Oryctolagus cuniculus: one gene and its partners. The protein of the gene in region 4 purifies or fractionates together with the protein of the main gene of each other region. This does not show direct contact. Links are inferred from orthologs where the notes say so. Each region holds a gene or a part of one and is shown on either strand. Other genes may lie near its edges. The genes, in order: PRUNE1, GSKIP, PRKAR1A, GSK3B, YAP1, AXIN2 and AKAP11.

Region 1 (3,893 bases), on a different chromosome or scaffold from region 4:
GCTGTTGTAGGCATCTAGGAAATAAACCAGCAAATGGAAGTGCTCTCTCTTTCTTGCTCTGTGTCACTTTTTCAAATAAAGAAAAATAAGTACATAAAAAATATTTAAGCCCTCTTTCTTCACTTTAATTCACTCTTCAGAGCCTGACATGGTACGTGGTAAGTATCACTTTCATCTCCTTCTACTTACTTGGGTAAGACATGATGGTCAACAAGGACAAGGCTGAGCTGGCTAGCCTGGTGCAACGCGTGGAGGTCAATCTCATCCCGAAAAATTAAGAGAGTCTCTGGAATGTGAAGCTTCTGGAGGAAGAAGACGTTGTCGCCTCGCAGAGGTAGCTCAGAACGTTTTATATTTAGAACTGGCACGAAGATTTCCTCGGCCTCAGTCGTCTGGGTAGAAAAATCAAAAGATGACAGAAGGAAACAAGGCCACTGACACCAAAAGATGTGGCCCTGCTAAGTCATCACCTTTCTCAGTCACAATTACCCAGTCTATAAAAACGAAAGGGTGACCTGCCCTCCCTCCAGCTTAGCAATGACAAGAAAGTCAACAAGGTATCGCAGTGAAAAAACCCCAGTGCTACAGAGACAGGATTTGTGGTTCTGAAGAGCTAACCTGGGCAAGAAGAATACACACTAGATAACTGATACCCATAAGGAACTCAATAAATAATACACTGTTTAAATATTGCCTTATAGTTTATAAACCCCTCAAAATATAGTTGCTTGTTTGTTCCTCATGGCAACACTGTAAAATATTCTCATTTCAGATTTTATAGACGGTGACATGAGACTCAGTAAAGTTAAGGGGTTTTGCTTACCCAAGGCTAAGTGCCGCTAAGTGGCAGAGCTGGGTCTTGAATGCACATCTGTTCGTCCTAAGGGACTCAGCGCCCAGTACTCACCTTTGCCAGGTAAAAAGCCAGGGTGAGAGCAGACACCATGGAGTCCAAGTCACAGGCTTCATTTCCCAGCACCACATGGAGAGGTCGGGACTCCTGGGAGAGAAGAATGGGAAGCAGCGGCGTCCCTATCTATTCCCGCGCACCCTATCCTCCCGTCCTCAGGGAGGGCTTCACTCCCATCCTCTCCCCGAGCTTCATGGAGCAGGGGGCTCAGACCGTCTTCTGAGAGGACCTCAGCATCCTAGCAGGCAGGGCTAAGTGTTTCAGCCACACTGTAACATCCCATACACACCCAGTTACTGGGAAAGTCTTCTTTCCTCTCTACTAAATTTGACTTACAGAAGAGCAGTAAATAATCCTCTGACTTCTTGTGCTTCTTTGGACACCAAAATAGTCAAAAGTAGGCCATTTAGAATAGGTGATATATTCCAGCAACACTCTTAGGCATAACAGTCCTTGTTTGTCCCTTCCATCCCCATTTACAAAGCAGGAAAAAGAATTCTTACACCTCTAAGTCATGAAAATAGGGGACAGCCCATGTGGCATAGCAGGTAAAGCTACTGCCTGCAGTGACGGCATCCCATGTGACCACCAGTTCGAGTCCTGGCTGCTCCACTTCTGATCCAGCTCTCTGCTCTGGCCTGGGAAAGCAGTAGAAGATGGCCCAAGTGCTTGGGTCCCTACACCCACGTGGAAGACTCAGAAGAAGCTCTAGGCTCCTGGCTTCAGATCTACCTAGTTCCAGCCGATGCAGCCATTTGGGGAGTGAACCAGCGAATGGAAGACCTCTCTCTCTCTCTCTCTGCCTCTCTGTAACTCTGTCTTTCAAATAAATAAATCTTTTTTAAAAAGAAAAAAATGGATCAGTGTTGTGGCACAATGGGTTGAGCTGCCACCAACAATGCCAGCATCCCATATAAGCACTAGCTCAAGTCCTGGCTGTTCCACCTCTACTCTAGCTCCCTCCTAATGAGCTTGGGAAAGCAGCAGAAGATGGCTCAAGTGCTTGGGGCCCTGCACTCTTATAGGAGATCTGGAGGAAGCTCCTGACTCCTGGCTTCAGCCTGCAGCTATTTGGGGAGTGAACCAGCGGATGCGAGATCTCTCTCCCAACCTGCCTCTCTGTAACCTTGCCTTTCCAAATAAATAATTTTTTAAAAAAGATTTATTTTATTTATTTGAAAGACAGAGTTACAGAGAAAGGTAGAGACAGAGAGGTCTTCCATCTGCTGGTTTACTCCCCAAATGGCTGCAACGCCTGGAGCTGTGCTGATCCAAAGCCAGGAGCCAGGAGCTTCCTCCGGGCCTCCCACAGGGTGCAGGGGCCCAAAGACTTGGGCCACCTTCCACTGCCTTCCCAGGCCATAGCAGAGAGCTGGATCAGAAGTGGAGCAGCCGGGACTAGAACTGGTGTCCATATGGGATGCCAGCACTTCAGGCCAGGGCTTTAACCTGCTGCGCCATAGCGCCAGCCCCAATAAATAAATTTTTAAAAATTTCAATAAATCAGTCAAAAAATGGGCAAAGAGGTTAAAAAATAGATCTAGTCCTTTGGTTGTCTGAGAAAACGCCCACTGCCCTGAGCAGGCCTAATGATAACTACGTATAACCAAATACCTCGCACAGCCCGAGAACAGACGCTTTCCCCAGCAGGTTCGGATTAACGCAGGAACACATGCTACTGCTGGAACTTTTTTTTCTGAAAATCCCAGCTGCTGATAAGAACTCCGAGGAGGGAGGGATATCTGCTATTATTAACTTTGTTCCCTTGCAACGATCTCCCCAGCTATCAAGTCTTAAAATACCACAGTGTCTACAAGAGCAGAGTTGTTTTTTTTTTTTTAAGATTTATTTATTTGCAAGGTAGAGTTATAGAGTGATAGAGGGAAAGGTCTTCCATCCACTGGTTCACTCCCCCAATGGCTGCAAGGACTGGGCTGGACTGATCCCAGAAATAGGATTTTGCTTTTTGTTTTAAATGTTTATTGATGGGGCCGGCATTATGGCCTAATAGGTTAAGCCATCGTCTGTAGCACCTGCATCCCATATGGGCGCCGGTTCGAGTCCCGGGTACTCTACTTCCTATCCAGCTCCCTGCTAATGTACCTCAGAAAGCAGCAGAAGATGGACCAAGTCCTTCTTGTGGGAGACCCAGATGAAGGTTCTGGCTCCTGGCTCCTGGCTTTGGCCTGGCCTAGCCCCAGTCATTGCAGCCATCTGGGAAGTGAACCAGCAGATGAAAGACCTCTCTCTTTGTTTCTCCCTCTCTGTCTCCATAACTCTATCTTTCAAATAAATCTTTAAAAATATATGTATATATAAACATTTATTGATTGTGCCAGGTATTATTACAATATTTTTACATGCATTAACTAATCATTTAATCCTTAAAACAACTCAATGAGGCAGATACTTTAAAAAATTTATTTAGTTTTAGTTATCTGAAAGGCAGAGACAGAGACAGACAAACAGAAAGTGGTCTCCTATATGCTGGTTCATTCCCCAAATGCCCACTACAACCCGGGCTGGGCCAGGCCAAAGCTAGGACCTGAGAACTCAGTCCAGGTCTCCCACTTGGATGTCAAGGACCCAACTACTTGATGTATCACCTGCTGTCTACCAAGATGTGTATTAGCAGGAAACCGGAATTGGGCACAGAGCTGGAACTCAAACACAGGCTCCCCAATATGGGATTGAGGCGTCCCATGTGGCATCTTAACAGTTAGGGCAAATACCACCCCAAGGCAGGGTGAACGAATTATTTCATTCTCCGTGTGAGCATTTTGCTGGTGGAGTAAGACCATAAAGCCTACAGTTCAGCTCAGAAGACAATTCCTTCTTATTAGTTTACTTCTGAACTTCTATCTCTGCCTGCTTCTGAGAGAGGATAGGCTGAGAAACAAAACGACTCACATAGCAGGGCTCCTCAACTTTAGCATCACTGGCATTTTGACTAGATAATTCTGTTGGGGAGGGGCTGTCGTGT
Region 2 (4,364 bases), on a different chromosome or scaffold from region 4:
CACTCAAGCCAGCTGACTCCAAGGTCAACGCTCCTAACATTTTGCAGGGTGGCTGCTGCTGCTGTCCTGTGCGACTCAAGAGCACTGGGACCGGCAGCCTCCACGTCACATTCCTGCTACTTCAGATGCAAATCTTAAAAGAGGTCAAAACCTCTTTTTGGCGTTTCTCTTATTTTCCACCTAACATGGTGAAGGATGATTGTTCTGAAGTGACCTATTTAGCTTCTGATGTATAGCTTCTACTCTGTCACTTTAAACTCTTCAATATAATTCTTAAAAAGCTGACAAAATGTGGTTGGGTAATTAATTATTCTCATCTACCTCAATCAATGTCAGGTGTTAATATTTTGTGCTAGGTACTCTGTCTTCCATAAACACAAACATAGCACTGTGTCTGGGGATGAGTTTGTGTCCTGTTTGGGCTACAGGGATAATAATGACTGGTCCCAAACCTTAACATTTATCTTAGGGCTAGCGTTGTGGCACAGAGTTATGCCACAGTCTGCAACACTGGCATTCCATATGAGTGCTGGTTTGAGTACCAGCTGCTCCACTTCTTACCAGCTCCCTGCTAATGTACATGGGAGAGCAGCAAAGATGGCCCAAGCACTTGGGCCCCTGCCACCCACGTGGGAGACCCACATGGAGTTCCAGCCTCCTGGCTTCTGTCTGACCCAGCCCTAAGCATTTCAGCCATTTGGGGAGTCAACCAGCTGGTGAAAGATCTCTCTCTGTATCTCCCTAACACTGCCCTTCAAATAAATAAAGAAAATTAAAAAAAAATTATGTTGAAATTCTCCTGAAAAGCATAAAATGCACAAGGAAGCATTTAACACTTTAAATGGAAAAAACCTTCAATTTTAATTTTCCTTTCTGATAAGTGAAATTGCAAGCATCCGTTGACAGTCTGAATGTATTCTACATTGCTAAAGAAACCATGTATTTAAGTCATCGGAAGTAAGTCCAAATCATATTGCTAGGTCAGAAGCCCAGTTCAAAGCTCTCAAGGCCTATTCTACTGCCCTCTCAGATGAGAGCCCAATTTTCATTTTATTATTTATTTATCTGAAAGGCAGAGAGAGAGAGAGTGAGTGAGCGAGAGAGAGGTTTTCCATCCACTGGTTCACTCCTCAAATGGCCACAACAGCTGGGGCCAGGCCAGGCACTTCTTCCAGGTCTCCCATGTGAGTGCAGGGGCCCAGTCCTCCGCTGCCTTCCCAGGTGCCTTAGCAGGGAGCTGGACTGGAAGTGGAGCAGCAGCACCCAATGGGCTGCCTGCTGTACCACAAGGCAGGCCCCCACCTTTGACTTTTCATATCATTTTCTTTATTCTGCTTTTAGGGAGCCTATTTGCTTCAACAAATATCCAGAACCTAACTGCTTCTAACAGGTTTCACTGCTACCACTCTGGTCCAAGCCACCGTCATCTTTCGCCTGCATTACTGCAACACCGTCCTAACTGGTCTCGCTCTGTTCACCTTGGACCCGCCCACCCCCACGCCAGCCTATTCTCAACACCGCAGTTAGCAGGATCCTGCAAACTGAGGCCAGAGGATGTCACTCCTCTCCTCAACCCTCCCATTCAGCCAGAGTGAGAGCCAAAGGCCCAGAACCCTGCAAGACTTCCCGTCCCTCCTCCCAGTCTCTTCTTCCTATTTTACTCACGATTCCCCTTCAACCATCACGCTCGCTCCTCCCCCGTGTGGGGAGACCAACTCTCCAAACACCTGTGCACCTTGCATTCTCCACGTCTCTGCCAAATGTCACCTAGTTGGAGAACACCTTCTCTCACCGTCCGAGGCAAGACAGGCAAACCTCTCGCCTCTGCCCCGCCCGCTGTCTTTCCCTGCCACAGCGCTCACCGCCCCATGGCACGCTGTTACCTATTTCCCCTCCCTTCAACAAAGGGCTCCATGAGAGCAGAGACTTCGCTGTCCCACCGTGGTGTCCCCGGCACTTGGCGCGCAGCCAGTAAACGTTTCCTACTGAGTGAACCCCCGCCCCCCCCATCCACACTTTAGAACCGCAGCTCCCGGGACGCTCTGATCTTCGCACACGGAACTGCACCGACTTCCACTCTCTGGACCCCCGGTAAGCGCTTCCCCACGAACGCGGCGCCAGGGAAGGGTCGCTACTGAGGACACTCGGGCTGAGTCTACAACAGGGAGGGGCACCGAGGACCCCGGGGGCCGCACGGTCCCCACGCGGAGAAGCCAGCGTGGACGGGAACGCAACCTCTCCCCATCCGCCAACGCTTCGGGGCTCTGTTAGTGCTTCCAAGGCTTTCGCGAAACAGTTACCGAGACGGTCAGCACTGTCCTCAGCCCCGCGAATTCACTACCCCACGGCAGGTGCACGGGTGTCAGGGCTTCACGTCCGCTCACCTTCCTAACGATCATCCTCGGACTAAGACACGTTAATACCCTCCCCCTTGCGAAGGAGGCTCGGCGAGCCCGGGGCCGAGCGGTCGCAGGCGCGCACCAGGGCCACGACGCCGACCCGGGACCCCAGCGCGGGTCCCCGGCGGTCAGCGGGCCCTGCCGTCGACCCGAGGCGGCAGTTCTGGCCGCAGATGCTCCAACTCCCGAGTTTCCCGGTCGCTGGTGCCACACGCCCCGGAGGAGCTCGGCGCGCCGCCGGCCGCCGGCCGGCTCCGGGAACAATACCTGAGGAGGCGGGGGCGGACCCTCGGCGCCCAGCGGGCGGGCGCGGAGGCCCGAGGGGCGCCCCGGTCCTCCCCAGCCAGACAGCGGCGCTCCGAGCCGCCGCGCCCGGGGCCCCCGACGACCCGGGCCCGCCCGACCCCTCTCGGCCTGCCGGCCCCGCAGCTCGGGCCTGCCGCGCCGCAGCCCCCGTCCGGGCGGCCCCACGGCCCGCCCGTTCCCCTGAGTCCCCCGCCGCCGCCGCCGCCCGCTCACCTGCGCTCGCCCGCCTTCTCCTCTTCCTCCCTCGGGAGGCCGCCGGAGCCGGCCCGCGGCACCGCCCCCTCGGAGCCGGAACTGCTCCGGCCCCGGCTCTTCTTCCCGCCTCCCTCGGCCCCCAGTGTGGCGTCACTTCCGCCTGCGCCCGGCCGCGCGCGTGCGCGTGAGGCGCCTTGGGCTCTCGCGAACGCGCCGGGAGCGTCCCCAGGCTCGGGAGCGCGCTTCGTGGATGACAACAAATTCGTCGCGCGGCTGCCGAGGAGGTGTCAGCCGCCTCCTGTCGCGCGCTCCCGTGTCCGGGCCGAGGAGGATCCCCTCGGGAGTCCCTGCCCCGGACGCCGGGGCCGCCTCTGCGCCGGGTCCTTGCCGGGCCTGCGACCGGTGTCCGGCGCGGGCGATGCCGTCGGCCTGAGGGCGCCCGGCGGTGAGCGGGCATGAAGGGGCCGCGCCGGGCTTAGGCCCCGCCGCGGCCCGGGGACGCCGGCCGGGCCCCGGAGCGCCTTCGCGGCCGGAGCCGGAGCCTGGGCCCCGCCGCCGCCGCCCTCAGCCGCCGCCATGCCGTGGCCGTTTTCCGAGTCCATCAAGAAGAGGGCCTGTCGGTACCTCCTGCAGAGGTACCTGGGCCACTTCCTGCAGGAGAAGCTGAGCCTGGAGCAGCTCAGCCTGGACCTGTACCAGGGCACCGGGTCCCTCGCCCAGGTCCCCTTGGACAAATGGGTAAGAGCTGCGGGCGGCGGGCCCCGCGCCCCTCCTCGGTGCCGTCCCCCCGGGATTTGGGGACCCGCGTGTGGCCGGCCCCGGAGAAACGTGTTTTGAGTGCTGGACATCACGTGTTCCAGAAACCGAGCGGACAGATGGGAGCCTGCGCTGGGGGAGTGCTTGAGTTAGGGCGGGCGGCGGGGGCGGTCTGGGCCGCGGATCGGGGGTCCCACGGCCAGCAGACCCCGTGTCGCGGCGTAGCGTTCCGGAAAGGCGAGGGGGACCCGTGGGATGCCGAGGCCCCCGGGCACGCCGCGTCCGGCCCGGGGGACAGCGGGGGAGGCCTCGTCCGCCGGCTTGCACGCCTTTGTACCAGGCTATGTTTACACGGACAGTGTGCGTGCCTTTTGGCTTCACGTGACAGATCGTAAGAGCAGGTGTTGCAAAAGCGCTGAGGCTGCACTTTTCAGACATTTTAAAGCCGGTTCTCCACTGGTCGTCGGAGGCCGAGTTGACTCATTGTGTCTTGCGGGTGCTTGGTGTGTGTTTGCACGCGCCCAAGCGCTGGCCTGCGTCCCTGCGTCCGGGGCACGGTGTCTGACCGTGCTCACCGGCTGGTTGGACCGGACCGCAGCGGCTCCTCCCCTGCTAACTGAGCGCTGTAGCCTCCCTGCTCCGGGCTGAGATGTGACTGTATCAGCGAGGGGAGGGCTTGCAGGTGGGAAGGGTCCCGGGGCACCCCAG
Region 3 (3,893 bases), on a different chromosome or scaffold from region 4:
AACAAAAAGCATAAAGAGATTCAGCCAAACAGCCATGCTCACTCAACATCTAAAGGTGTTGCAGATTAAACATGGCACCTGTGTTCAATTACCTCTGCTCTCAGCAGGTTCTCGGGTTACCTGCAGATGGCCCTTATATTTCTACTTCAGCAGCCCTGTGGCCAGGTTTAACAACTGTACCCAGTTGCAAAGGACTAAGAAAATGGGATGAAAAAGTATTCCTGAATATGGCCATCACTGCAAGTCAAACCTACCATGACATATCCATATTATTCCACAGACTGCAGAAATGCCTTACCTATTTAAATTCTCAGCTGAATTTACTGTGCAACTACAAGGAGCTTGAAAATAACTTGTTACCAAAGGCCAAATTCACACCTTAGACTCTAAGCAAATGTAACTATTTCAAAGAAAAGGCAAAGGAGGGGAAAAAACCAAACAACTCATTATAACAAAACAGTGGCAGAAGACTGTTACCTTATGAAAATCACCATGTCGCCTTCTCAAGAACAGGCTCAACAACACCCCGAGTCCACATCACAAACTTACAGAAATATCTCCGATTAATCTGCTTTTCACTCGAAATTTCAACAAAAGTCTGTCATTTTTTCAAAGGACGCTCGCAAACACTTTGCAGAACCATGACCTCGTGATGGGACATCTGCTCAGCCTCCCTCTCTCCTCGGCAAGACTGAGAAGCACCTACGCCTTCGGGAAGCTCCTCCCACGACCAGTCATTTCTAGTGGAGCGTTTGTCACACACTACCAAAGACAACTTTTTAAATTCCTTTAATTTAGTCAAACTTTCAATGCTGTCAAAAATTCCAGGTGTTTTTCATTACTATGAATAAACAAAAACAAATAACTAGAATTTTTATAAAACAGGTTCTCCTGAATATCACTATCATGGATTTAAAAATTCTTCACCAGAACTCACCTAAAATGGACACTTTGCTAAGGAACTCTTCATACATCTTCCGCTTTCTCAGTGTGCTTCCCTGTAAATGAAAAAGATAACAGAACTCACATCCCCAAAAGGTGTAATATCAGATAATGAAGTGACAAATATTAACTTTCAAATCAACTTAAAAAGTAGAAAAGCCAAAGCTTGTTGATGTTGTTTATTTACCTTCATTCTACTTCAAGCTGAAGACAGGCCCACACTCTGTAAAAGCTTTGCTCTTCAAATGAAACCAGCTGCGGCCAGCACTGTGGCACAGAGGGTTAAGCCTCCACCTGCAGTGTTGGCATCCCATATGGGCGCCAGTTTGAGTCCCGGCTGCTCCTGTCTAATGTGCCTGGGAAAGCATCGGAAGATGGTCCAAGTACTTGGGCCCCTGCATCTACACGGGTGACCCGGAGGAAGCTCCTGGCTTCAGCCTGGCCCAGCTTTGGCGGTGCAGCCATTGGGGAGTGAATCAGGGAGTGAAGTACATTCTCATTCTCTCTCATTCTCTCTCTTCCTCCCTCCCTCCCTCCCTCCCCTTTTATCTCTGCTTCTCAAAAAATTAAATCTTAAAAAAAAAAAAAAAAAAAACCAGGTACATGATTAAAGAAATTGCAGAGCAGGCCGGCGCCGCGGCTCAATAGGCTAATCCTCCACCTTGCGGCACCGGCACACCGGGTTCTAGTCCCGGTCGGGGTGCCGGATTCTGTCCCGGTTGCCCCTCTTCCAGGCCAGCTCTCTGCTATGGCCAGGGAGTGCAGTGGAGGATGGCCCAGGTGCTTGGGCCCTGCACCCCATGGGAGACCAGGAAAAGCACCTGGATCCTGGCTCCTGCCATCGGATCAGCGCGGTGCGCCGGCTGCAGCAGCGGCCATTGGAGGGTGAACCAACGGCAAAGGAAGACCCTTCTCTCTGTCTCTCTCTCTCACTGTCCACTCTGCCTGTCAAAAAAAAAAAAAAAAAAAAAGAAAAAAAAAGAAATTGCAGAGCACTACCAATTAGTGAAACATCGAATAAGCAAATGATCGGTTCTCCAAAAACCCACCAAGCAATAAGTGATTTCCAGCTTAGAATCCTGCCCTACAACCCTACTTCTCCATAGACAAAAGAAAAGTAAGTACCACTGCTTATACAACCCCTCCCCCCAGAATGCCCCATAGTCCCAAACTAAATCAAGTTTTCTTATTGGCAGAGACTGGGGGGAATGAAGAAGGGGACAGATACAGTCTTCTAAAACAACCTTCCCTTACTCGGTAAACTGCCTTAGCACCCATCACCCCCTCCACCAAAACATATAAACCTACACACATAAACACATATGTAAACACAGCTGGCCTTCCCTCTGCAGATCCAAGCAGATCATATATATTAAGAAACGTTAAAAACCTTTTCTGAAACATACTTTTTCTTATTGTCATTATCCCCTGAACAATACAGTGTAACTATTACATAGCATCTACATTAAGTAACCTTATGCCCAATAACAGAGATGACTTGAAGAAACAGGACGGGTATACATTACATGCAAACGCTACACCATTTCATGTAAGACTTGAATATCTGAAGATTTTGGTATCTGAGGTGGCGGGGGCAGGGGAAGCGCCTAGAACCAATCCCCCATGGGCACCAGGGGATGATGAAGTATCCTAGGGGGCTTGAATACAAAAAATTGCAAAGTGCATCAAACTGTACTTTTAAATGGCCACATGGGCACTGCACAAACTCCAGAAAACCATTCAAAGTTATGGATGTCACTAGCTGGGTCTTAAACACCCGAAGTTACTCAGTATAAACTTAAAATGTTCTCAAAACATGTGACTAACTCAGCGTCTAACATTCCCATTGTTGTATTATTTTGCCTATTCCTCCAGTAAAAGCCACAACATGCCCTTGAGTGCCAACACCCCCACAGTGTAGGGAGTCTGGCCTTAGGTGACTTCGTGACTGAAAAGCAGCACCCATCAGGCTACCTGGGTAAAATCAGTTAAGATGTGCCTATCAGCTTCTAACATAAATTAATCTTTACATGTAGACATTTTGTTTCTCATGTTATTTCTGGCCAAAATATAACTGTCTCAAATGGCATAATGAATAATGCTAAACTGAGTCTAATGTAAAATATTCCATCATTAAAAGTAAGGAATGGTCTCATTTTCATTTGGTGATATTGTTCAAACATTAGTCACAGAGACCAGAATGTTTAAAAAAAAAAACCAACCATGGTCTCTTACCATAAGGATTCTTCTATAGCTGTCTCGATCAATACCCCACAATTTCACATTGGTCTTTGCTTTGACAGTGGCTGCTCGAGGTGTTCCATAAATCAAAGCAAGTTCTCCAAAGCTCCCTCCTTCCCCAACACTGGTTGCCCATTCGTTGTTGACATAGACCTAAAAGCAAATGATTGATATAAACAAAATGCTTTTTCCCTATATACAAAAATATCTAAGTATTAAAAATCCTCAAACCTTTTTAAAAGGTCAGAATCCTAAACTTCATTTTTAAAAAACACAACATATTATGTTCTTGGTACACAGCAGGTTAAAACAGCTGACGGCTGAGTTCTGACAGTTAAGTGAATTAGGAGTGCCTACAGTTTACCTGGTTTAATTATAAGAAAAAGGTACTCTGTAGAGATGGGAGAAAAAAAGCTACCCAGGAGCCAGCAGTAATGGATAAAGCTGCTACCTGCAGTGCTGGCATCCCATATGGGCACCCGTTTGAGTCCCGGCTGCTCCACTTCCAATCCAGCTCTCTGCTACGGCCCGGGAAAGCAGCAGAAGACGGCCCAAGTCCTTGGGCCCCTGCACCCATGTGGGATACCCAGAAGAAGCTCCTGGCTCCTGGTTTTGGATGGGCACAGCTCTGGCCAGTGCAGCCAATTGAGGAGTGAACCAGAGGATGGAAGACCTCTCTCTCTCTCTCTCTGCCTCTCCTCTAACTCTTT
Region 4 (4,451 bases):
CACAGAACAAGCCGAATCCACCTTCTTTCCGTTCGGATGCCTTCGGCATTTTCCGCTCTCTAGGCGAGGCTTCCCGGGGGCCCATTCTAATTGGCTCTTCAGGCCGATCGGCTTTTTCCGGGAGGAGCCGTAAAGAAACGACGCCCGTGATTGGCTTCGCTGGGGGTTCGGCTCCGCCGCCGAAGAGGGCGGGCGTTGGGCTCGGCCGGCGATTCCCAGACGCCTGTTACGCGGGCGGCGGGGCGCGGGGCGGTATAAGGCTGGGTGGGGGAGGAAGGAGGCGGAGGACGAGTAGGAGGCGGGGAGAGGGAGGGGGAGGGGGGAAGGCGCTAGGCGGCTGCGCAGACGGAGCTCCTCACACAGAGCAGCCCCCGACCCGGGCGAATGCGGGTTTGTGCTGCCGCTGCCGCTGCCGCCGCCGCCGCCCGGGCCGAGTGACAAAGGAAGGAAGGAAGCGAGGAGGAGCCGGCCCCGCAGCCGCTGACAGGGCTCCGGACTGGGGGCACAGCACGGACACTTCCTCAGCGGACACGGAGCTGAGGCGCGGGGCGTGAGGGCGGCCGCGCTGGTGCTTTGGACGGGGGAGGGGGCCCCGAGGGAGACGGAAGCGGTTGCCGGGTTCCCATGTCCCCGGCGTATGGGGAGCAGTCGAGGAGCCGCTGCCTGGGGTCTGAAGGGAGCTGCCTCCGCCACCGCCGCCGCCATGGCCGCTGGATCCAGCCGCCGCCTGCAGCTGCTCCTGGCGCAATGAGGAGAGGAGCCGCCGCCGCCGCCCGCCTCTGACTGACTCGCGACGCCGCCGCCCTCCAGGACGCCGGGCCCCCGCCGGATCCCGCCGCTGCCGGAGCCGCAGCGTTTCCCGTCGCATCTCCGAGCCGCCCCCTCCCTCTCCCTCCCTCCTTCCCATCCCCCCTTCTCTTCAAGCGTGAGACTCGTGATCCTTCCGCCGCTTCCCTTCTTCATTGACTCGGAAAAAAATCCCCGAGGAAAATATAAAATCCAAAGTACTTATTTTCAATCAAGTATTTGTCCCCATTTCACGTGATTTTTTTTAAGGAGTCCCCCCTCCCAGGAAAGGGAGGGGAAAGAATTGTGTTTTTTTTTTCCCCTCCCCCAGCCCCAAATCATCTATATGTTAAATATCCGTACGGATCCGTCTTGAAGGAGAATACATCGCTCGTGTTTTTTTTTTTTTTTTTTTTTTTTTTAATATAGCTATACAAAAGAAGTGAAAAGCCAAGAGGACGAAGTCTTTTTTTTTCCTTTCTTGTGGGAGAACTTAATGCTGCATTTATCATTAACCTAACACCCCAATATAAAACAAAAGGAAGAAAAGGAGGAAGGAAGGAAAAGGTGATTCGGGAAGAGAGTGATCATGTCAGGGCGGCCCAGAACCACCTCCTTTGCGGAGAGCTGCAAGCCAGTGCAGCAGCCTTCAGCTTTTGGCAGCATGAAAGTTAGCAGTGAGTATTGATTTTATTTTACACCCCTTCTCCGTCTCACCCCTAAAATAAGCAACCTCGAAGTCCTAGAACCTTAACATACTAGACCTGATGGAACACTCACCAGAGCTAATGGAAAAGAGCAAGACCTGTCTTCAGTCGAGGATGAGGCAGCTCCCTCTTTTCTCCTCCCATAACCCCCTCCCTCGGTCTCATTAACCTTGAGTTCAGAGAGTACGATTTTTATTTCGATGATTCGATTTGAAACGTTTCTTGTGCTTTCCTTGCTACTGATGGTCGCCTTTATCCAGTGCTTGGGTGTTTCCACTTGGAAATTGTGATGGAAGCGTTTGCTTGCCGACCCTTTTGAATAAAGAGGACTAAACGACTCATAAACCATTATGTGCATTTGCAGAGTGTTTGTCTTTTGGAACGAGGGAGGAAATTCTGGTTAGCTCAAGTCTCGGGTTATCACAGCTTTGTGTACTTCATGGAGACATGAAATGTCCCAGTCTCCTAACGTTTCTCTTCGTGCTGGTGTAACTATACAAAGTATTTGTTCTTAACCTGGGGATGAACTTGCTCAGTAACCAGCATTCATGTGTGGAGGTGATCATCGCTCCCTCCCTTTACAAGGGGCTGATGGGAACAGATAAATATCCAGCAGCAGTAGCATCTCCAAATACATTGTCTTGAATTGGATAAGTGGTTTAATCTGTTATCTCTTAACCTTCCTGTTTTGGCATTACCAATCTGCCACCATATAATTTGTTTAATCAAAAGGTAACTTGGAAGGAGGTCCAAGTTTTGATTGAGGCGTATGTTGTCATAATGCCAGATACTAAGTTAAATGTTAATTGTCACTGACTCATTGTCATTTAAGTTCAATTTTGACGTGCTGTTGCATTTGTTACTTGTTAAAATATTCTAGAGTACAGAGGATTCCTTTTTAGGAATACTTAAAATATCCTTGCATCAGTTTTCTTGTAGATAAGATTGAATTTAGTTAGAGGAACATAGATTTAGTCCTTTCCATCATAGTTTTTGCAGAAGGTTGTCCTTCTGGAAATGGTAGGGCTGTCTGGGATGTGGTCTCAGGGTTGTTACCAGACTGTACTTTCACAAAGTCTGTTTTCTTGAGGTGTTTGTTATACTAAGTATCCAGTGATCCCACAGAGCTCTGTTTGTGAAGGGGTTTGTGTGGCAATTAATGGCAGGTTATTTAAATATACTTCCAGATTTTGACAAAAAAAAATGTTTATATTGTTTCCTTATTCTCTGAGAAAGGGGCATGAAGAGGGCAAACTATTTTGTTGCCTAGAGGAGCTAAGAGAACTGAAGAGCCTTAAACAGTAGATTCTGTTATGTGGACTTGATTACATCCTTAAGCAATATAAAATGTTTACTTTTAATTGAACTCAAGATTCCAATCACTTTGGCTTTTGGAACTTGCCTGAAACAGGATAGTCCAAGGTAATAGCTGAATGGGAGATTATTTTTGAGTTAATTTTTTTTTCAGTGACTAGCTAGTAGAGAATGCAGAGTATGTAAAGAGGGAAGCTGATTATGCATCTTTTTAGAGAAGGGTCATGCTTTCTAAGCCCTTCATGGGGTCATTTGAAAGAAGTTTTTTATTCTGGGGGTAATTTTTAGCTATGATGAAGCAAATATTACAATAGCTAATTAAGAGCCTCTTGTGATACTGCAGTGATTGTATGTTTTACATCTTGGTAATAATTAAAAAACACTGAAAGTCAGTTTTAGGAATATAATTATTAGATGTATTTCAGAGATCTATAATGCTAGTGTATAATGCTAAATTCTGGGATTTTATATTTTGTTTCTAGGATTTTCTTTGAAGATGACTCCTTAATTCTTGATGGCATACATGTTGACCAAGAATGGTGTGATTTTTGTAAAGTATGTAGGTTAAAATGTTTGATTTTCTGTTATCATGTCCTTCAACTTAATATTTAAAAAGTTGGAATTTATTGCTGAATATGCATTTTTGATAAGCCTAGCTTTAGGGATATTTAGAAGAAAGGGGAGTCATTAGGCATTTGTTAGGTGCTGGTGTTTTCAGGACCCATGTTCAAAAGAGATACATATGAAATTATAGTCCTTGGCTTCAAAAAAAGCTGGTCACTTAGTAGTAGAGGCAATTTATGGGAAAAACAATGAAAACAATGGCATTACGACTGCAAGGCAAAATACAAATTGAATCCTTTGTTCAGAGGGACAAAGAATAAAGGGGTGAGACATGCATTGGAGGGAGAAGGCTTCCTGTAGAGAAGGTGTGCTTTTAAGACAGGTGTTAAAGAAGGCTGTGTCTTGAATTGGTGGAGAAGCATGAAAGATTCTAGGTGAAAGGACTCCAGGCACAGAGATGGTGAGTTTTGTAGGAGAGGCAATAAATAAGCTGGTAAATCTGAATTATAAAAGCCTAAGTAGGAAAATAACAGGTAAAATTTGAGAAATATTGGAAGGATAGCTGACAGAGGGCAAGGGGTCTGAAAAAGTTTGACATTCATGAGAGCTCTGAACAGTTTTTTTTTTTTATAAACTTTATTTATTTTAATTTTATTGGAAAGGCAGAGAGACAGATCTTCTCATCTGCTGCTTCACTCCACAAATGGTCACAACAGCCAGGGCTGGACCAGGCCTAAGGCAGGAGCTGGAACTCAGTCTGAGTCTTCCACTTGGGTGGTAGAAACCCAAGTCCTTAAGCTTTCATCTGCTGCCTCCTTGGATGTGCATTAGCAGGAAGCAGAGGAGCTGGGACTAGAACTGGCCCTGCCATGTGGGATGTGAGTTGTACCAAACACCCACCCCTGAACAAGGTATTTGAAGATGATTTGGGCAGCTAAGTTGAATTAGAGTAGAACTATATTAGAGCCCTTTAGGGAGATGCTAGTGTATGTTGTGAATCATGAGGGAATAAAATAAACTGAAAATGGGATGAAAGGAACAGATTTGAGAGATGGTGTGAAGAAGAACTGGCAGGGTTTT
Region 5 (3,893 bases), on a different chromosome or scaffold from region 4:
GTTCAGTTTAGAAAAATCCATAGGTTACTTACTGTTGGCATGGGTCAAATATAGTTTGATGACAAGGTCTTTGTGTAATCTCTCAGGGCATTGAACATCTCCCTAGGCAATTAGGAATGATTTGCCATTATTATTATTATTATTATGGATTTATTAGTTTGAAAGGCAGATTTAGAAGAGACAGAGATCTTCCATCCACTGGTTCACTCCCCAAAAGGTTGCAATGACCAAGGATAAGCCAGGCCAAAGCAGGAGCCATGAGCTTCATCTGGGTCTGTCACATGAATGGCAGAGACCCAGATACTTGGGTCATCCTCCACTGCTTTCCCAGGCACATTAGCAGGGAGCTGGATTGGAAGTAGAGCTGCTGGGGCTTGAACCAGCACCCATATGGGATGCCAGCATCACAGGCAACAGCTTAACCCACTACACCATAACATGGCCCCCAGATTTGCCTTCTTGTTAACATCTCTAAATTACCTTTCTTTTGTAAGTCTGAATAGTTTGCTCTGCATTGTCTGTTGATAATAGAAATTCAGTTACTAAAGCAAAATAAAAATTTGACAGCTTTAAACAAGCATTCTGGCAAAATTCAAGGTAGCAAGAACATTGAAAGTCTAGTCTACACCAGATGATTTGTTTTAACCTCATAAAACGATCTTGGGAAAGTGGAGATTTTATGAAAAGGCATAGAATAAAAAATTGTGAAAACAATATGAAAATTTTAACTAAGTTATTTAAATATTTAAATATTTTAAGTTATTTAAGATTTATGGATTAGTGTCAAGTACTTTGTGCTGAAAAGAGTTCAAAGTTAGACAAACAGAAATGTGAACATATCTTCCTTAATAAAAATCAATGATGGCGGGACGGTTAGCTTAGTGGTTAAAATGCATGTTGGGATTCCCGCATACCCACATCTGAATACATGAGTAAAGTTCCTTGCTCTGTTCCTGATTGCAGCTTTCTGCTAACGCGGATCCTATGAGGCAGTGATGATGTCTCAAGTAACTGAGTTCCTGCCTCCCAGCATTGGCCCCCACCCAGTTTCAGCTCTTGCAGATGTTTGGGGAGTAAACTAGGAGATGAATCTGTCTCTCTCCTTCTCCCTCCCTCTCCTTCTCTCTTTCTCTTTGAAATTTAGGGGGCAAAACATATGAAGATCTTCAAGATATTCTCTAATATTCCCATATTTTGAAGGATGCACAGTTTTGTCACAGAAACTGTACACCATCCTCATCCAGAGATTATAATTTTATACATTCTAAAGTTTATTGCTAAATACATCCTTGTATTTTAAGAGAAATACAGATTACTCAAAGTATTAGAAGTCATTTTATGCTCTAAAACAGTTCATTCCTTCACTGTGCCCTTAGGGGTACAGCAGAAATAAATAATTACAAAATCGTGTGATAAATGCTGGGATTGTGTTACATGTGCTAAGGGTGTGAAAGGCATGACATCTTTATGTCTAATCCCATCTCAAGATGGAAATGGAGTTATCATGGGGAGTTACTTAAAGAAGGTGGTGTCTTCACTAGGTCTTAAATAATATGGAAGAAAGAAAAAGTATTCTAGGCCAGAATAGCATGTGAAAGAAAAAGGTATGGTATTCTGAGAAAGTGTCATCATACAGACCTTCAGGGAGTAAACTGTCAATTGTCACTTCTCACTTTGCAAGATGAGAATGGGAGAGTTCAAAGAGACATGATAGAGAGACAGAAAAAAGACAGTAGTGATGAAGGTGTTAGGGTTTGGTCCGAGTGAGATGAACTGACCTGTGGGTCCTGGGCAAGTATAGTAACTGAGGTCTGGGTTATCTCAAAACCTGCTGAGGCAAATCTTGTAGTGGCCCATAGCCTCTGCTCAGGTTCTAGGTGGAATCCTGCTGAAAAATTTGGAATGTCGCTGAAGAAATTTTACCCTATTTTAAATCCTATGATTATAGTGGAGGGACTTTGGGTTCATGTTTTTATGTTTGATGCCTTTTTTTTTTCCTTCTCCTCTCTCCCTGCTAGAGGATAAAACACTCTAACTGAAGATAGAAAAGCCTGAAGTCAAAATGAGACACTGGATATACCAAAGTGGAAAACAATGTTGGGGGTGAAGAGGGAATTAGTATCTTACAGTAAGACCAGACTTGCCCTTCTACCCCAAAGGAGAATTTGGTAGTATAGGCCATATTAAGGAAAATATCAAAATGAAGCTAAGTACCAAAGTGTATATGTTTTGGGGTTAATATAACTCAACAAACTTTCAAATTTAGGCAACTTAATTTTTAATCACTTCAATGGATAGAAGAACTTGATCACTCTGATTGGGAAGTATGTTATTTAAAATAGATACTACAACTTTGTGTACACAGTTACCCTATTAAACATTAATTCTTTAAACCTAACAAATTTTTAAAGGATATATTATGTTTATGTTGTTGTTTTTTGTGTATGTTTGTTTTTAAAGGAATTAGCTCTCCGTAGCCAGTTACCAACACTGGAGCAGGATGGTGGCACTCAAAATCCAGTATCTTCTCCTGGGATGTCTCAGGAATTGAGAACAATGACAACCAATAGCTCAGATCCCTTTCTTAACAGGTTGGTAAGAGATGCTACTGTCTAGTATCTGAAAAAGATTGTAAATTTAAGATCATGTTGCTTAGTGCTTATAATAGGCTGTTTTGAACATGTATGTGAGCTAAAAATTATAGCTGTAAATAAATTTCTCCAATAAAAGTTCAGGATTAAAAGCCATTTTCTACAGGAAAAAGTGAGCTGTTGAGACTTGTGAGGAGGATACTTACTCAGAGTCACAGCGTGTTTGCTTCTGCCTGTACTGTTGACTAACAGTTACTTAGAATTACAAAATCATGAAGGAACATGTGCATGCTTCTCTATGAAATCAAATGAACTGTATCATAAATCCACTTTTGCATTATAAAGATCATTAGAAGGGATTTTCCACATAGGTGTTCAACCCGAGAGCTTTTACAGAGCATCATTTTAAGGCCTCGTGTTCTCAAGAGCCATAGTTCAAGGAGATAATATGTAAGGTTGTACCTTTTTCAAAAAATGCATTAAAATGAATGGTAGTGTTTGAAAATGATATAGCTTAAGGATACTTCTTAGTTACCACAAATCTTGGATTTCAGGAAGATTGTAATGGTATTATAAACTGCTGTTGAAAACTGCAAGCTGGGCTGGCGCCAGGGCTCACCTGGCTAATCCTCCGCCTGCAGCACCGGCACCCCGGGTTCTAGTCCTGGTTGGGGCGCCGGATTCTGTCCAGGTCACGCCTCTTCTAGTCCAGCTCTCTGCTGTGGCCCTGGAGTGCAGTGGAGGATGGCCCAAGTGCTTGGGCCCTGCACCCGCATGGGAGACCAGGAGGAAGCACCTGGCTCCTGGCTTCAGATCGGCGCAGTGATGGCCATTTGGGGGGTGAACCAACGGAAGGAAGACTTTTCTCTCTGTCTCTCTCTCACTGTCTAACTCTGCCTGTCAAAAACAAAAACAAAACAAACAAACAAACAAAAAAAAAACCCTGCAAGCTGCGACAGGTCATATTCTTTGCCTAGAAAGCCATTTAAAATGAAGATGTGGGACAGGCATGTTGGCTCAGCAAGTTAAACTGCCACTTACAACACCTGTATCCTATACTAGAGTGCCAATTTTGAGTCCCAGCTACTCCACTTCAGATCAGCTTCCTGCTAATGAGCCTGGGAAGCTATAGACGATGGCTCAAATTCTTGAGTCTCTGCCACCCACATAGGAGACCTGGATGGAGTTCCTGGCTTTGGGTTTGATCTGGCCGAACCTTGTCTGTTGTGGCCATTTGGGAAGCAAGCCAGTAGATGGAAGATCTTTCTTTCTCTCCACCTCTCTTTCCCTCCCTTTCAAGTA
Region 6 (3,893 bases), on a different chromosome or scaffold from region 4:
CAGACAGGGCACACCCGGAAACGCAAACCACTCAGCGGATCTCAGCAGTACCGGGCAGTGGAGACACTCACTCTTCGGGGGCCAGGCTGGGGTTGGAGAAGGGCGTGGCTCCTGCCTGACCAGCGGCCAAGTGGTTCCTGTCCCTCTGCTGATTGGCCACACAGCACCTGAGGACACAGCCAGGGGGAGGGCTTTAGAGGTGTGGCCACCCCCAGGGTTACAGGGGACACGGACACACACACACACACACACACACACACACACTCTCTTTGGCCTCAGGAAGAGAAACGGACCCAACCTCCATCCCTGTGAAGACCCAGTAAGGCCTTGTGTTCGTTGGGGCTACAGGAGGCCTGGATGACACTTGGGGACAGCTGCTGCAAGCCCCCTGGGCACCCTGCACAGGACATCCTCAGCCCACGCCAAGGGCTAAAGACTCCTGCATCTCCCCAGCCAGTTTCCCACACGCTCAGCTAAGCAGCCCCCAGGGACCGAGAGGTTTTATAAGGAATGGGGTGTGTAAGGAATTATTCAAGTGTATGCTCCTGAATCCGGGTTCAAGTCAGGCACAGCAGTGGGACCCACGCCCAGAGGCTGCAGGGCGAATCTTAGTCGGCCAGAAGCAACGCCTGCTTCCAGGAGGGCCTGAGACCCAGGCAGGAAAGAAGGGTGCCCCCTTCCCCTCCAATCCCGCGCGGACCCCCTCTCTCCCACTCACCGCTGCTTGGGGGGCTTCGACACCTCAGCCAGCCTGCGGCAGGCCTCCTCCAGCTGTGCCAGCGTGTTGGGTGGGGTCAGGGGGGGCACTGCAGGGTCTTGGGTAAAGGGGTGGGCACGGGGGGCGGTGCGGGGGTGCCCGCTGCTCCCCCACAGATGGTGCCGGCTGACCCGTTCGCCCGGGGACCCGCGAGCAGACTCCATGGGCGAGGCCTTTTTTGTGCTCTGGGCACTGAACAAACGATGCAGAGAGAGAAAGTAGAAGGGAAGAAATTGGGTTAGAAAAACTGGAAAATGTGACTTCAATAGAAACTTGTCTATTCTGCTCAGAGAGAGAGAGAGAGGCAGAAGAAAAAAATAACTCTACCATAACACGAACGGGAGTGGCTGCCAAAACATGACATTTTTGCGGTCTGCCCAAGTCCAACGTTTAATATTAAGATGGCAGGAGCAAACAGTCGCACTTGTTTTCAGCCAACTGTGAAAACAGCCATCCCCGAGACCCCCGCGCGTGCGTGTCCGTGACCGGGGGCGGCAGCGTCTACCTGTGGGGCTTGGGCTTGCTCTGTCGCTCACTCTCCAGCATCCACTGCCACACATCCTGCGACCTGTCTCCTTCTTCTCCAGGCAGCTGCAGGGCCCCAGCGCCGCCGGGGGCCCCTCCTTCCCTAGCGGGCAGGGCCAGGCCAGGCTCCGTGCCTTTCCCACTTCGTTTGGGCAAGGTACTGCCTCTGCTTCCACTGCAGGAAACCAAGACCCACACCCAACCCAGAGACCCTCATTACTTCCCCTGATTCCTCCAATGGGACAACCGCACGAGCAGGGGCCGGGAACGCGACAGACCCATGCACCTGCACCCCCTCCCCCGGCGCTAAACGCCTGTGGCCGCGGACCCCGCCTCACCCCTGCCCAGGCCTCTGGCCGGGAGAACAGCTCCACGCGGGCTGCCGCAGACCGCCTGGCACTTACCCAAACTGCTCTCCTGGCACGGGCTCCGGAGCCTTGGGGTGGCTCTTGCACTTGCAGTAGCAGTAATACTCGGAGCACAAACAGCGCACCCTCTGCGTGGCCTCGGCCTCGAGCTCCTCCTTGGTCTTGGGGCCGGCGTGGTGGTGGATGTAGTGGTGGTGGACGTGCTTCGTGGTCTGCTTGCTCACAAAGCCCTTGCCCCCGAGCAGTGGGCAGGCCGGGGCGGCGGCCGCGGGGGGCAGCTTGCCCCCCGGCGGGAGGAGGGGGTGGTAGGGCTGGTGGTGGTGATGGTGGTGGTCAGGCGAGCGGGAGCGGGGGCTGGCGCGGCCCACGCCGGGCGACTGGCAGCCGGGGGTCTTGAGGACCCTGGACAGGTGGTCGTCCAGGATCGTCTGCGGGTCCTCCTCGTAGCCGCCGGAGGGCAGCAGGGACAAGGGGTGCTGGGCGGGCGCGCCTTCCCGCGCGCTCAGCGGCGGCTCGGAGCCTTCCTTCTCCTCGTCCTGGAACGGGATGGCGCAGAGGGGCCGTGTGGGCAGGCACGCACGGGATGGACGCACGCACGCACGGGATGGACGCACGCACGCACGCACAGCGCTGGAGGGCCACCGCGCGGGCCTACCTCGCGCATCTGCTGCAGCCGCTCCTCCAGGCTGTGGCGGCTCTCCAGCTCCAGCTTCAGCTTCTCCAGCCTGGCGATGAGCTCGGCCGCGAAGGCGGCGGGTTCCACGGGCGTCATCTCCTTGGGCAGGCGGTGGGTTCTCTGCGGGGCGCGGGGAGGCACAGGGACGGGGCGCGCTTAGCAGGCCGGAGCTGCCGGAACCCGCGCGCCCGTGCCGGGGCGGAGAGCGGCTGGCGCGGCGGCCGGGGCTGTCGGGGTTTTTATGCGGCGGCGCCGCGGCCTCATGGAGAGCCATGGTCCCCACCAGCGTTTGCCTTGGGCAGGAGCAGTTGGTCGCACTCCGAGAGGCCCTGCTTGTTCCCTCTGTAGTACAACCAGCCCATCAGTAGCTACTCTGAAGTAGACAATCTTCAAAGACTGTTGTCAGACATCAAAAAAAAAAAAAAAAAAAAAAAAAAAAAGCAGCCCTCTGAGATGGGGAGGGGAGCGAGAGCAACTCAAGGAATAGAAAGTAGCGTCTAAACAGAAGGGGAGTTGGAAATTAAAGAAAGTAAGATTGCAAAGGAGGTGGGGGCGGGGGGAATAGGAAAAAAAAAAAAAAAAGAGAGAGTGTCGGCAGGCCCGGATCAGAGAAGCAGCGGTAATTCGTTCCTGGCCGCACACTGCGCACCTCTGAGGTGCTGTTGTCTCCACACTGGCCTCGGCCTCCCTCGCCTTCCTCCTCCCCTCCTCCCCTCCTCCCCATCTCTTTGTACGGAAAATGAAGAGAGCTGCTGCAGGCTAGTAGCAGACCACTGCTGCGCTCGGCCGCCTGAAGTTGAGCCATCAAGGGAACAGGGAACATCTCCAAATCAAGTGCGGAATATAAAGAGGCCCCGCGATCGCATCGCCTGCCAACTGCAGCACGCGGGGCGGACCCCCGCCGCCGCCTCTCTGTCATCTCCCGCCCCGCCCCCCTCCCGGCGGCTCGCCTCCTTCCTCCTCATCTCCCGCCCGCTTCGCCCTTTTCTGGGGGCCGGGGGGTGGAGAGAACGCCAGCCCCAGCAGAAGAGGGGCCTCGCCCGGGCAACCGCTTAGCTGCAGAACCAGCCCGAGGGGGCAGAGAGAGCCCCCTCCCCACCCCCAGCAGGAGGTGGCCGGTTCTCACACAGGCTGGCTTTGCGCGCTGATGGGGAGAAAGTCAATTTGCACACCCCAGGACAAAATCCTCGAATTTACAAGCTTGGAAAATAATAGCGTTTCTTGGTATAACACACACACACACACACACACCATTTCCACCCCCCCCCCCAAAAATACAGCAACCCCAACACGTACACCACCAACACCAATGTGTTTGGGAGCAGGAGGCTGAAATCCCTCCCCCACCCCCCAGCGATCTTAACGTGCTGGTGAGAAGGTAAGGAGAGGCTGCCCAGGTGTGAGAGCGACAGAGCCACACCTGGCCTGCACTGTGCAGCATGCTGGCTTTCTAACCAACATCACTGCAGACCCCTGGGCTCCTCTGAAGCTGGCGGGGGGGGGGGGGGGGGTCATTCAACAGAGCCCTGCTGCCAGCCAGGGGCCCTCTACCCCTCCCTAACTGGGA
Region 7 (3,893 bases), on a different chromosome or scaffold from region 4:
TATTAACTCACTGTTACCACCTTCCTGTTTTAGTATTTGGATAATGTGGCCTGCATATTCATCTGTCACACTTTCACAGCTGGGATACTTATACATCAGCCCTGACATACAAGAACTTGGTGGTAATGAAAGAAGAAATGGGTCCACTTCTCTTGGGTGTGCTATAACGTCCATATTTAATCTCTCTTCTGATCGATAATCTCGGTCACCATCAAGATAACAACTGTTCTTCCTCTGCCTAAAAAGCATGCAACTTCTAGCTTTTGCAATTTTCTCAGCTTCTGTAATGACTTCTGTTGCCATATCACCTGCAAAACTGCACAATGTTTGCAAATTTTCAGCTGAGCAATTTAAAAAAGTAGGCGATGCATTTCTTTGACTCTGCACATCCAAGTAAGCACATTTACCCTTGGGTTCTTGAGTTATTTTATTATCTAAGTGGGAAGCTGCCATTTCAGTTGCCACAGAAATGATGTGTGTAGCTAATCCGTCGGCAAATTGAACTTTCTTCCCCAAGTGCTCTGACTTCACATCCAATTGTGGGTGCTCTTCATCTTCACTGCCTTCAACTTCTTCTGAAAGAGACCGCATGAGTTTCAACATGAACTCTTCTTTCTCTATGGTATTTTGTTCATTTTCAGACAAACTACCAACAGATGAGTTGTGAGGGGTGGAAGGTGGTGTAGCAGGTGCAAATTCTTTGGCTAATTCACCCTTCAGCTTTTTGGTTAACTTCTTAATATCCCACTCAGAACTGGCCTGGGATGGTAGCAGAGGAGTCGATGGAGGAGTGTCAGGTATTACATTTCTGTCTCTGATTTTTGGCTTGTCTTCCACATGAAAGCCATCTACACAGGTAAGCACTGAAGACGAGAAAGCATGTGAATGAGGAAAGGAATTTTCCTGTCCAAAAGTCAAGGGCTCAAGTGCTGTATTCTTCACATTATGCTTTTTCACTGTTTTATCCTTAGCAAGTTCTGTCAAATCAAGTTTCTGACCTGCCATGGTTGGATAAGTTGGCAGTGTCTCCAAAGGAAATCCATGAGCCATAGAACCTTTATGTTCTAGAACACATTCCTTTCCAACTGAAAGTGAACAGTCAGTCAAGTGATCTTGAACATCAAGAAATTTGGGGAACTTCTGGAAAGTCAACTGTAATTTTTCTCCAGGAATTGGTATGCCTTCCTTACATACGGTTTTATCTCTATTTGGGGTCACTGATTTGCTTTCATCTATGGAATGTTTAATAATAGATTTAGATAAACAGTCAGCAAACATGTCCCTACTGCTGATTTCACTCTGTTGCGACGTTGCTGGTTCACAATGGGACAAAGGAGAAGCTCTTCCCTCTACTGCTTTATTTAAACCACCTGTGTATTCACCAACTGGTTCTGTAACTTCAAATGATGCTACTGACTCTAAGGTTTCATTTACTAATGTATGTGCCATTGCTGAAGAAAAGTTGCTAATAATCACAGGATCACTTGTTAATTTTGAAGAACTCTGCATTTCAACATCATCATTAGCTGTTTTAAAATCATTCTGGTTAGGAGGATTGTGTTCTGAAGGCAAACAAATATTTCTTAGACAAGCTACTTCTTCTCCTTTGCTTTTTGTGGCAACATTTGCTGAGGTAGAATCACCATTTGAATTACTACCATCAGAGGACAGAGGAGACTTCGCCTGACATACAGATGAAATATGATATGGGAGAAGGGCACTTCCTGCCAAGGGCACTGGTATAGAAGTAACAATTCCAGAAGTACAAAACAAGGCCTGCTGCACTGTGTATTCCTTCTTATAGTCCTGTGTTGGTTTCGTCACCAGAGTTGCTTGGTTGTTGAAAGGAGAAACTGTGAAGGTCTGTGTCAATGGCACTACGCTTTCTGCACTCACATACTTGACATTATCCACAGAAACACTAACTGCTGCCTTGGTTGCGAAGGTCATATCAACTTGTGATAGTTCAATGAAGGCTTCCTGTATTACAGATTCAGACAAATCTCTTGCATACGACTTCACTACTTTGTTTTCAAAGTCAAATGACTTACATTGTGGAGATGCAGGTGTTGGCGGATACGAAAACTGACACACTTCCATGATGCCTTCAAAAACAAGCTCTTCAGCAAGATCTGCAGCAAACCTAGCAACTGTGTTTGTGAATATCTGCTTCTTTACATACTGTAAATCTTTTAAGGCATTGGCTAAAGCTTCACTCACCAAAAAATTAGCCAGGCTACTAATGGCACGTTCTTTCAGTGAAAATGCACGTTGTCTTCTCAGTTCATTAAATGCCATCTGAAAAACGGATGACGTCAATTTGATGGCTAAGTGGCACAAGGCATTGGTACACGAAGAGAGTCCTTTCTGCAAATCTTTAAATGCACTGCCCAAACTTTTTTCCACAAGGTCTGCTGCAAATTTCTGAATACTATCTTTAATCATTAATGATTTGTTTTTAGATTTACTTTGCTGGTCAAGGTTTCCATGCTTAAGAGCTACAGTTTTACTTTCTCCCCTTTTAATAACATTGATGTTTGATAGTGAATGACCGTGATGGGTATGAAGAACCGAGTCCAGCACTCCACATGAAACACTATCTGCATAATCTTCATAGGCGTAATAAATGGAATCATGATTCTCATGAAGCCTATCTCCTCCACCATCTGTTTGGCAGAAACATTCAGCAGGGGTACAGCCTCCAAGGGGACTAAAAGCAGAGGAACGAATAGGACTGAACAAACCACTGTCTTCTCCTGAGGCCTTCACTGGGCGAGGAGAATCTGGAGCATCACACGGATTGCCATATGGAGATTCTGGCTTCCGAGGAGTAGGCTTTCGAACATTAGCCGGCAGGGCCGGACGATCGAACTTTTGAGGATTCATACAAGACTTTTCAAGTTTGTGCGCTTTCTTTTGTGATGACTTTCCTATAGCAGGATCTTTTATAAACAGACAAGAAGTCTCTGAGGCTTGCTCTAGTTCATCAAACTGATCAAAACTATCAAAAAATTCACTTACTTCTGAGTCTGAATCTTCAATATCATCTTTCATCACAGGAATTTTAGGCAGCTCAAGTTTAGCCTTTAAACTTTTTTGATATCCTTCTTCATCCAAGAAAATCACAGGACTTGGGCTTGAGCATTCTGATTCAGAGGAGTAAGCAGGTGAAGAAGACAAAAAGGTTTTCTGTATGTCACTGCCTTTCTCAGCAGCTTTAGAAGATCTGTAGAAACTCCTTTGGATCCAAGGCTCTGAAATTGGTGTTGTGACTGAAGTTTTCACAGAAGGTAGTTCTTTATGTTCCAGAACATTTATTAAGGAGGTTGAAGGTTTAGTCAATGACTTCTGTTGTCCAGAACTAACCAGAATCCTTAAATCGTGGTTTTCTAAATGGTGACCAGAAATAGTCTGAGAAGCAGCATCACACTGGCTCCTTAATGCAATAACATTTATTCCTAAATGAAAAGAAATATTTCTATATTATTCCTTGCAGAGAAAGTTTAAATTTTTTTTAGAAATTTAAATCAGTAGAATAAAGTATGAAATATTTACTCCAAATGTGTCTTCTAAACTATGTTAACAAAAAGATTCATCCCAAGTAATACTTGAAAGCAAAATACACCCTTGACTATAACATCATTTTACCCTGTCTGTGGTATTTGGTCTACAGAATGGTTGGCATACTGTCACACATGTTAGAAACATACTAGGGTAGGTCTGCCAGCTAACTCTTCTGAAATCTGAACCTAAGCATGTTCCAGACACTGACGATAAAAAGGTAAACAGTGCTTGAACAGTAAATCCTAAAAACAGAAATAGCAAAACTGAAATCCAGTTAACAATGAACTTAAAAATCATAAGAAAATTAAGTCTTCAATCAGAAAAAAGGA

The links.
Region 1: the proteins of GSK3B (region 4) and PRUNE1 purify together in Homo sapiens (affinity purification with mass spectrometry; 5 studies listed by BioGRID and IntAct, with this or other methods). This does not show direct contact. The link is inferred for Oryctolagus cuniculus from reciprocal best matches to the Homo sapiens genes GSK3B and PRUNE1.
Region 2: the proteins of GSK3B (region 4) and GSKIP purify together in Homo sapiens (affinity purification with mass spectrometry; 10 studies listed by BioGRID and IntAct, with this or other methods). This does not show direct contact. The link is inferred for Oryctolagus cuniculus from reciprocal best matches to the Homo sapiens genes GSK3B and GSKIP.
Region 3: the proteins of GSK3B (region 4) and PRKAR1A purify together in Homo sapiens (affinity purification with mass spectrometry; 3 studies listed by BioGRID and IntAct, with this or other methods). This does not show direct contact. The link is inferred for Oryctolagus cuniculus from reciprocal best matches to the Homo sapiens genes GSK3B and PRKAR1A.
Region 5: the proteins of GSK3B (region 4) and YAP1 purify together in Homo sapiens (affinity purification with western blotting; 3 studies listed by BioGRID and IntAct, with this or other methods). This does not show direct contact. The link is inferred for Oryctolagus cuniculus from reciprocal best matches to the Homo sapiens genes GSK3B and YAP1.
Region 6: the proteins of GSK3B (region 4) and AXIN2 purify together in Homo sapiens (affinity purification with mass spectrometry; 9 studies listed by BioGRID and IntAct, with this or other methods). This does not show direct contact. The link is inferred for Oryctolagus cuniculus from reciprocal best matches to the Homo sapiens genes GSK3B and AXIN2.
Region 7: the proteins of GSK3B (region 4) and AKAP11 purify together in Homo sapiens (affinity purification with mass spectrometry; 4 studies listed by BioGRID and IntAct, with this or other methods). This does not show direct contact. The link is inferred for Oryctolagus cuniculus from reciprocal best matches to the Homo sapiens genes GSK3B and AKAP11.

What each region holds. Positions count from the first base shown.
Region 1 is NC_091438.1:47,076,951-47,080,843, forward strand, and holds part of PRUNE1 (exopolyphosphatase PRUNE1), read right to left. Parts: intron 1,001-3,893; coding exon 908-1,000; exon of another isoform or gene 824-907; intron 393-823; coding exon 190-392; intron 1-189. UniProt on the Homo sapiens protein: Phosphodiesterase (PDE) that has higher activity toward cAMP than cGMP, as substrate. Plays a role in cell proliferation, migration and differentiation, and acts as a negative regulator of NME1. Plays a role in the regulation of neurogenesis.
Region 2 is NC_091451.1:40,752,630-40,756,993, reverse strand, and holds the start of GSKIP (GSK3B-interacting protein), read right to left. Parts: upstream 3,027-4,364; 5' UTR 2,919-3,026; intron 1,768-2,918; exon of another isoform or gene 1,743-1,767; coding exon of another isoform or gene 1,666-1,742; intron 1-1,665. Other genes in the region: ATG2B (autophagy-related protein 2 homolog B), read left to right, coding at 3,477-3,638. UniProt on the Homo sapiens protein: A-kinase anchoring protein for GSK3B and PKA that regulates or facilitates their kinase activity towards their targets.
Region 3 is NC_091448.1:11,145,822-11,149,714, forward strand, and holds part of PRKAR1A (cAMP-dependent protein kinase type I-alpha regulatory subunit), read right to left. Parts: intron 3,337-3,893; coding exon 3,178-3,336; intron 999-3,177; coding exon 938-998; intron 1-937. UniProt on the Homo sapiens protein: Regulatory subunit of the cAMP-dependent protein kinases involved in cAMP signaling in cells.
Region 4 is NC_091435.1:76,547,694-76,552,144, reverse strand, and holds the start of GSK3B (glycogen synthase kinase-3 beta), read left to right. Parts: upstream 1-1,324; 5' UTR 1,325-1,375; coding exon 1,376-1,463; intron 1,464-4,451. Other genes in the region: transcription factor SOX-4, read right to left, coding at 1-963. UniProt on the Homo sapiens protein: Constitutively active protein kinase that acts as a negative regulator in the hormonal control of glucose homeostasis, Wnt signaling and regulation of transcription factors and microtubules, by phosphorylating and inactivating glycogen synthase (GYS1 or GYS2), EIF2B, CTNNB1/beta-catenin, APC, AXIN1, DPYSL2/CRMP2, JUN, NFATC1/NFATC, MAPT/TAU and MACF1.
Region 5 is NC_091432.1:93,678,961-93,682,853, forward strand, and holds part of YAP1 (transcriptional coactivator YAP1), read left to right. Parts: intron 1-2,460; coding exon 2,461-2,591; intron 2,592-3,893. UniProt on the Homo sapiens protein: Transcriptional regulator with dual roles as a coactivator and corepressor. Critical downstream regulatory target in the Hippo signaling pathway, crucial for organ size control and tumor suppression by restricting proliferation and promoting apoptosis.
Region 6 is NC_091448.1:11,836,877-11,840,769, forward strand, and holds part of AXIN2 (axin-2), read right to left. Parts: intron 2,447-3,893; coding exon 2,306-2,446; intron 2,187-2,305; coding exon 1,687-2,186; intron 1,458-1,686; coding exon 1,263-1,457; intron 950-1,262; coding exon 719-949; intron 168-718; coding exon 72-167; intron 1-71. UniProt on the Homo sapiens protein: Inhibitor of the Wnt signaling pathway. Down-regulates beta-catenin. Probably facilitate the phosphorylation of beta-catenin and APC by GSK3B.
Region 7 is NC_091440.1:61,455,624-61,459,516, reverse strand, and holds part of AKAP11 (A-kinase anchor protein 11), read right to left. Parts: intron 3,459-3,893; coding exon 1-3,458. UniProt on the Homo sapiens protein: Binds to type II regulatory subunits of protein kinase A and anchors/targets them.